Danio rerio: one gene and its partner. Each later gene encodes a partner of the first gene's protein in a complex. Links are inferred from orthologs where the notes say so. Each region holds a gene or a part of one and is shown in the gene's direction. Other genes may lie near its edges.

Evidence for each region.
Region 2: the proteins of camsap1b (region 1) and tubb5 are in contact, whole or in part, in a cryo-EM structure (PDB 6QUS), measured with the Homo sapiens proteins. The link is inferred for Danio rerio from reciprocal best matches to the Homo sapiens genes CAMSAP1 and TUBB. Residues at the interface, in NP_056262.3 of Homo sapiens: Cys1486, Cys1487, Leu1488, Ala1489, Gly1490, Lys1491, Val1492, Asn1493, Ala1519, Gly1520, Cys1521, Gln1522, Arg1562, Lys1563, Gln1564; in NP_821133.1 of Homo sapiens: Arg306, His307, Gly308, Arg309, Asn332, Asn335, Lys336, Ser338, Ser339, Tyr340, Glu343, Gln426.

The regions. Positions count from the first base shown.
Region 1 is NC_133180.1:71,534,685-71,538,672, reverse strand, and holds the end of camsap1b (calmodulin-regulated spectrin-associated protein 1-B), read left to right. Parts: intron 1-92; coding exon 93-211; intron 212-1,571; coding exon 1,572-1,868; 3' UTR 1,869-3,191; downstream 3,192-3,988. UniProt on the Homo sapiens protein: Key microtubule-organizing protein that specifically binds the minus-end of non-centrosomal microtubules and regulates their dynamics and organization. Specifically recognizes growing microtubule minus-ends and stabilizes microtubules.
Region 2 is NC_133191.1:10,600,657-10,604,990, forward strand, and holds the start of tubb5 (tubulin beta-5 chain), read left to right. Parts: upstream 1-1,445; 5' UTR 1,446-1,507; coding exon 1,508-1,564; intron 1,565-4,334. UniProt on the Homo sapiens protein: Tubulin is the major constituent of microtubules, a cylinder consisting of laterally associated linear protofilaments composed of alpha- and beta-tubulin heterodimers.

The DNA.
Region 1 (3,988 bases):
CAAATTTTGTTGTATTTTGTACAATGACAAAAATTCTGATTCTTCTCGAGTTTTTTGTTTATTCTTGTAACAATTTTTTTTTGTCGCTGTAGGACCCAAACTTTTCAAGGAACCAAGTGCGAAGTCCAACAAGCCGATAATCCACAACGCCATTTCTCATTGCTGCTTAGCAGGGAAAGTCAACGAACCGCAGAAGAACTCCATTCTTGAGGTGTGTGACTTCACAGATTAATCATGAAAATTTGTTTATACAGACAAGCAATAAAATGACTTTGTGACTGATTTTGTGTCTGTAATTCCCAGAAATTTGCAAACAATTTTGTGATCTTATCTAACATATTAGGTAGCCGACTATGTTAGATGTGCTATCTGACACAATGACAAGGACACAAATCATAAAAATAAAGCTTCTTTATTTTGTTGTTTTGTCAAGACAAGATCTAAAACAGTTCTAAAATGATAGGGATTAAGCCCAAGGAAGGCTGTATTAATTTTATGCACGAATTTACTTTTTCTCTCTCTCAGATTTTGCTCCCCGGAGCATCTGACATAATGTACCTCATTCAGGAAATGCATTAGGGCTTCTTCTAGCACCTAAAAGATAGATTGCAGACCAAAAAACTTGTTGCAGGGAAGCGTTTTGGTTTTCTCTTGTTAATTGCAGGGAAAGAGTTCAACAACATCACTTATCGATTTCAACAACACTATTAACACCAGCCATACATGTAAAAGCACAAATAAGGTCTTTCAATTCGGTCAAGTCCAGCAACCGTTGTCCTTCAACCAATCTCCATTATTGTAAGCTGCTTACTTGTCTGTCTTTTGCATTGCTCTATTTTTGAGATGTTTGCTTGCACTTTTGTTGCAGTCTGAAGCACGTCAAACGCACAAAATGGCCAATTTGCGCCACAGGATGTCTAATCCCATCTTTGCATTGTCTTCATATGTAAATCAGTAGCGCTTCATTCGCGTGTGCTTACTGCACAGGCTGCAAAACACCCAACCACACGCATGTAATGATTGTGAGGGCGCAAGTGGCATGTCATTTTGTCGAGAGACACTCAAATACATCACGTACGCTGCGTATGCAACGTCTATAAGTCATGTAAAACATTTAAGTGCAAACTGAAATTAATATCATTTGATTTTATGGTTTGGAATTAGATGTTTTATGAGATTATAAACATTTTTTGTGATTATTTTGCGTTTAATTAAGAATTTTGCAGGATCGCAAAAAACTGTGTCTTTTTGTTGATTTTTAGTTGGATTTAGCGATCGCGGAATCGTGAAAAACTAGGGCAGGGGTGGCCAACCCTGTTCCTGCAGAGCCCCCTTCCTGCAGATTACAGTTGCAGCCCATATCAAACACACCTGCCTGCTATTATCACCTGGTGTTCAGGTCCTGATTAATTGGTTTAGGTGTGTTTGATATGGGTAGCAACTGAAATCTGCAGGAAGGTGGCTCTCCAGGAACAGGGTTGGCCACCCCTGAACTAGGGGGAGTCTGTTTATAATACTAAATCTTGATGGTGAACACAAAATAAATGAAATGATTGTGTCTTGACCGGCAGGAGCTGGAGAGGTGTGAATCCAACCACTTGATGATTCTCTTCCGGGACAGCGGCTGCCAATTCAGAGCCCTTTACTCATACTTCCCTGACACAGAGGAGATCCACAAGCTCACCGGCACCGGGCCCAAGAGCATCACTAAAAAGATGATCGACAAACTCTATAAGTACAGCTCGGACCGCAAGCAGTTCACTGTAATCCCCGCCAAGACTGTGTCTGTGAGTGTAGATGCGCTGACTATCCATAACCACCTGTGGCAAGCTAAAAGACCCGCAGGGCCAAAAAAGAGCGCGAAGTGAAGTCAGATGACACTATTTTTTTTCCATCGAGGTCAGTAGTCACTTTGAATGGAAGAGGTTCGCTGGACAAACAGGCATGAGTTATCATGCACTTCATTTGAATGTGTTTTGGGTTGAAGTAGTACCCACAATCCTGTGGTGTTTTTACATGAATCACTCTTTTGTTACTTGAAGTATTTATTAGTTTGGCACTGATTAGCTCGTTTAAACGAAGCGCTTCCCCCATGATTGTTTGCCTTTTTTTTTTACTATTATCTACTTAACGTCTTTCAAAACATGTCTGCTGCCTCCGAGGACTGCCGGAACTCGAATTAATGTACAAAACTTAGCTGACTTGCCTCTCAACCAAATTTTTTTTGCCTCCAAAAACATGCTGCTCCTTTGTTGTCGCCGGGATAATCCCGGGTCTGCATACTTTTGGCCTTCATGCGTTGTGGTACTGTCTGTTTATTCAACTCTTTCAAATAAGCGCCTCGGTTTTAACCCCCCCGCTTGATGGTCTTTTTTGATTGGGAATCAAACAGACCTTGATAAGAGTCAGATGCAGTTTACTTATCTTTCTCGGTAGCGGCCTCTTCCACTGGACAGTCTGTACTATGGTGCACTTATGATCATGTTTTAGTGCTTTTATTATCATGCAATGTAACCATGTTGATGTTGGCACTGGAGCTTTTTTTTTTTTTTTTCCCTCATGCAGAAGAGCAGCATGCTCTGTTATGAAGAGTGTCGCTGTAAACGATTTGAATGACAGTATTTAATATATTCACAATCGGTTACTTCCCTTGCAGTCGCTGTCTAATTATTTACCAAGGTTGAAAACATTCCTCAGCGAAACAAGTCAACACTGCCGACGTCCTTTTGCGTGTAGACGCTCGAAAAAACACTCACAGAAGCCTCGTGTCTGGTGTCAAGATCAATTGAGTGTTGCACATGCACTTTATTTTTTTGCTCATGACGGTGTAGAGGTTTAAAGGGCTTAACGAAACTGTTTTTACTCCTAAAGCTTCAGTAGATTTGAAGGTACTCTAGTAGACACTGAGAAATAAACACTATTAACACCGGAAAAGAGCACACTGACAGCCCCTTTCGTCTCTTAAACTACTGTTTCCAAACGATAGGTGTTAGAATTGTCATTTTAAACTGCATTTTTTTGTATATTATGTGTGTTTTTATATATTACCTAAAAGATTGTATTGATGTTGATCACTTTTTTTTTTTCTTTTTAAACACTACTCTTCGTTTTTTTTGGCCATTTTGCTTCCTTTATCTTACCATTATTTATTTTAAGCAAGACTCTGAGAATTAATAAATATTTCAAGTCAATACATTCATTCTCATTATTTTTGTTTATTTCTGATTATTGACATTCTCATCTTTCTTCCACTTTATTTTCTTGCACATTACATTGAGTTTTGTCTGCCCGACTGCATGACTTTAGCTCTGATTTTACAGGTTTTAAGAAATCACAGGAAAATCGGTGCTCTTTCACGTGAGTAACAATCACACCATGTGATCTATCAAAACACGCAATCTGGGAGAATTTCCGATGAGTCGCTGACATCCGCCAGATATTTGGCTTGTTAAATACCTGGAGCTGTCGCCAATTCAAAATCCTACCGTGTGAAATGTGTTCTGATTGAAAATCACATCTGAGATTACTTACAGCCAATGAGAGAGCAGCATTCACTAGGTGGTTTATTTATAAACTAATTTCAAGAGGATCACGTGGTTATGATTGAACACGGCTGGTACCGCATCAGCTCCGTATATTGCACCAATCAGATGAATACTGATGCACTATAAATAGCCAGATTATTCCACTCCAGTCATTTTCGTCTTGAAGAATCCCTCGTTCCACCCCAACTCCTCCCCTCCAACCACGGCGGCCCAGTAGTTATCACTGTTGCCTCACAGCAAGAACACCACTAGGTCGGCCCCTCACCAAGGCAGTTGGTGTTTCTGTGTGGAGTTTGCATTTTCTCCCCATGTTCGCATGGGTTTCCCTCAGGTTTCCCAGTTTCCTCTCACAGTCCAAAGACATACAAGATAAGTTAATTGACTACTCTAATACAGCATATTGAAACAGCTCTTAGCCAGATATATCTCAGCACGTTTACAAG
Region 2 (4,334 bases), on another chromosome or scaffold:
AAAAATGAATTACTACTGCTTAGCTAAGTGTTTCTAATGCACAGTCTATGGTGCTGAGAGTAAATCTGACATTATTCTCTCTTCTGTCTGCTCTTTTTAGTTTCATGCAATTTTTTTTCCTTTTTCTGAAAGCCTTGATAACTTCATCAATGAGTTTTTCTTTTATTAATTCAGCAAACAGGTTTGTAAAAAATATTTGCTGTACTCTCAGATTTACTGACTGCAACACATCTCTGGGAAACATCCACACACACACATACACACACACTCATACACTACGGACAATTTAGCCTTCCAAATTCACCTGTACCGCATGTCTTTGGACTGTAAGGAAAACCGGAGCACCCGGAGGAAACCCACGCGAACGCTGGGAGAACATGCAAACTCCACACAGAAACGCCAACTGAGCCGAGGCTCGAACCAGCGACCTTCTTTCTGTGAGGCGACAGCACTACCCACTGCTTCGCCCCTATGTTTATTTCAATTCATTTCAATTTCATTTAATTTATTTAGCGCTTCTACAAATTACATTGCATCAAAACAGCTCAACATAGAAGATTACAGTAAACTGAAATCATGTCAGTCCAGTTTTCAGAGTTGAAGTTCAGTTCAGTTTAGATCAGTGTGGGTTTAATTTCATTGCTAAAAGTCAAAACACCGAAAAGCAAAATGAAATGAAATACAAAGAAAATCACATTTGCTTGAAGTCAATATTAAAATTGACATTTTAGTAAGGTAAGGGGGTCCCTTGCACAAATATGTTCTTATTTGGGGGCACTGAAAAAAATGATGTCTGCAGAATTGTTGCTAACAATTTATTTGTGTTGAATTTAAATAAACAAATTAAAATTAATAAAATTTAACCTAATTTGTTAGTTTAAATCCAGCCCAAGTTGTTTACAGCCACTTAACCTAAAACATTGAGTAAATCCAAGGAATCATCTCTGAATATTTTTTTTCAGTATGTTCCCTCAGTTTCCACTAATTGCCCCCACAATAATACAATACACTTCATGAATTTACCAAGTCTTAGTTAAAAGTTAATTATAAAGTACATATGTAAAAGCACAAATTTATACAACATCATATCAATTAATATGGCTAGATTTAAAGGATTTTTTCATATTCACAAGAGTTTCAATCTGGTCAAATTGTAGTCCTGAGATTAAACTAATGTAAACAAAACAAAAATAATTAGGTCACTGGTATAAAAAGTGTTTTAAAATCTTAATAGCCCAACTGGATAGAAAAACCAGCATACTTTTTCTTTTTTTCTACAGACAGTCCTCGTTGGCACTCCCTGCATACTTCCGGTCCATGCGCCATTCCTCGAGCATTGACCAATCAGCTTCCTCAACATCCATTAGTGCCCCGCCCATTACTATTCCAGCCTCGTTCTGGAGACAGTCCAGGAATATAAAGCCTTTGTCCGGCTTTCTCAAATTATTGCCGAGCCACACCGCTACTTTTTACATTCATTGGAGAACTTCTCGCACAATTTCTAACAATGAGGGAGATTGTTCACATCCAAGCCGGTCAGTGCGGAAACCAAATCGGTGCCAAGGTAAGAAGAGTTTTTCAGAGTAAAATCAGAGTCATTTATATTTAGCATCTTCTACTGAAAATATCTTAAAATGCAACAATGATTGTGTGTTGTATAGTTGAAGTTTTTTATTGTATTTAAAACAGAAACATTTTGTCTACTTTATATTTAACATGACCGTTAGGCAATACAGAGCAATTGTGTGTCCAGTTTTTGGCATTGCACACTTTACCAAACGTTATTAATAATGTATAACACTATAGCAACATGTAGAGCACTTTCATAACTCCTTCACTATGTACAAGAATCTACTTCTCCTCACACTGCTTTGTCTTGTCCTCTTTTTGTCTCATCTGAAGCCCCCTTTATTCACGCCCAAGAATATGCGGCTCCCACTCCTATTCATTCCCATTATGTCTTTTAGTCGCTCTGAATAGCATTTTTCATGTAAACGATGCTCAAATTCCACAGACTCCGAGCATTAATGTCTTTGTGTGTAAATTAGAGTTGTGGGTGTAGAGATTGAGAGAGGAAGAGGGGGGTCTGTCTGTCCTCTTTCTTTCTCTCGTTGTCTTCAATGCACCGGGTGTGGCGGATCTGATGGGCACAGCAGCAGCAGCGCTCTCTATAATTATTACCATGGCGACCTGTAATCAGTGTCGCGAGCCCTTTAAACAGCTGTCAGGACTCTGAGCGCAGCCACGTGGCACTAATATTACTATAGCATCTTTTTCTTTTATTTCAAGTATTTTATCCAGTTAGTCTCTGCCTGTCCTGTCAGTGAAGCGTTAGTGTCATCGATGTGCAGATATTGACTGCTGTGATTCAGTGGTGGAGGATGCTGGAAAGGGTGGGGCTGTGCAGGAAGACAATGAGGATTTAATTGAAGACATAACCATTGAAGTAGGCTAATAGTGGTAAATTATGAACTCTTGATTAGTAACATTATTATTATTATTAGTTTTAGTCATCGCTTAATTTGCTTTAAAATTGGCTTCTTTCTTACTTTGATCTCACAAAAGGATTAGCTTTCCTTTATCAGCCTCAGATATGACCAACTTGTTTGCTTTTACATTTCAACAAATTTACTTATAGTTCAATTTTATATATAAATAGTATATATATAAACTTTTTTTCCATGCTAAATGCTATTAAATGCAGTAGTTATTTTTATTGATGACCTCTTAACCACAAATTTTTATCATTTAATCCCTGAAGTTAAAGGTAAAAATAATTCAACATAAAATCATAAACTCTAAGAATCATAGACTTTTAAAGTTTTTGTTATGTATGAATAATGCTAATTTAAAATTTGGTATGAAATGTATATTTCCTAAAACATGTATTTGTCTTAAATAAAATTCCAAATTATTAAAAAGTACATTTAATTAAAATTAAAAATGAATGCAGAACCAAAGGTTTCTGCTCAATAAAAGTTTCCCAATTGATAACGAACACAAATAGTGACAGTTTAACCTTTTCTAATCATTCATTCATTCATTTATTTTCTTTTCGGGTTAGTCCCTTTATTAATCTGGGGTCGCCACAGCGCAATGAACCACCAACTTATCCAGCATATGTTTTTACGCAGCAAGTACCCTTCCAGCTGCAACTCATCTCTGGGAAACATTCATACACACTCATTCTCACACATACACTACTGACAATTTAGCTTACCCAATTCACCTGTACTGCAAGTCTTTAGATTGTGAGGGAAACCGGATGCAGGGAGAACATGCAAACTCAACACAGAAACACTCAAACCAGCGACGTTCTTGCTGTGAGGTGACAGCACTATCTACTGCACCACTGCGTCGCCCCCTTTTCTAACCATGACTTTTATTATTGCATATTTTTAAAATAATTTAATATTGTTCTGATGAACCAAAGCATTAAATTTTTGGTCAAAAATGAAGGAAGACCTTTAGAGAAATACATTTAGGGCTAGCGATTTGACCTAAAATCAAAATCTTTATTATTGAACATTTTAACTCGATTACAATTAATGAATGATTATTTTATGTATTTATTTTATGTTTTTGCCCTCATAGTTCACTAGTTTTTTACAGTAAATATCCTCACACATTACAAGTGAGAGATCTTTAAATGAAGGGTGCATTGCTTGATTTTAAAATAATTGGAGGAAACGCACACTGTCTACTTTAAATGATTATTTATTGAACATCAATGCTGAACAACTGAAATTGTCCGCGCCGCCCACCCTTGTTACCTCTACCAAACTGACCAATCACAAAGCTTGTGCTGTGTGTCATTGTGACGTGTAATTGCTTTTTTTTGAGAGGTGTGGGTATGCGAAGGCTGCGCCGGACCGTACGCTTGGCAGAAGTATAATGTCAGAATAATATAAAAAGTATAAATCATAATAGAGTAAGTATAAATTAGCCTTGAGAAAATGGGGACACGTGACTCCACACATGGCAGGGAAAGTAATTAATAAAATTGACCTGAAAAAATTTGATCGATTATAGGTTCTGAATGTCGATTGCGATTACTTTTTCGATTAGTCGCCCAGCCTTAAATACATTTGCCTAAAATCTGTAGAATCTGTAGAACTTTTTCACATACATGACCCAATTTTAAAACACGCCTATTTTAAAGATTGCTCATGAGATGTTGCATGACTTATGTGGCATTAAGAATTGGGTTAAATCGTCCTCATCCGTTATAAGACTTTGACATGCCTTTTAAATGATGAGATGGCGAGTGTCTGTTGAACTCATCTGAGGTCAGGGTGGGGAAGAGGAGGCATCTGCAAATGGACTTAATGCCT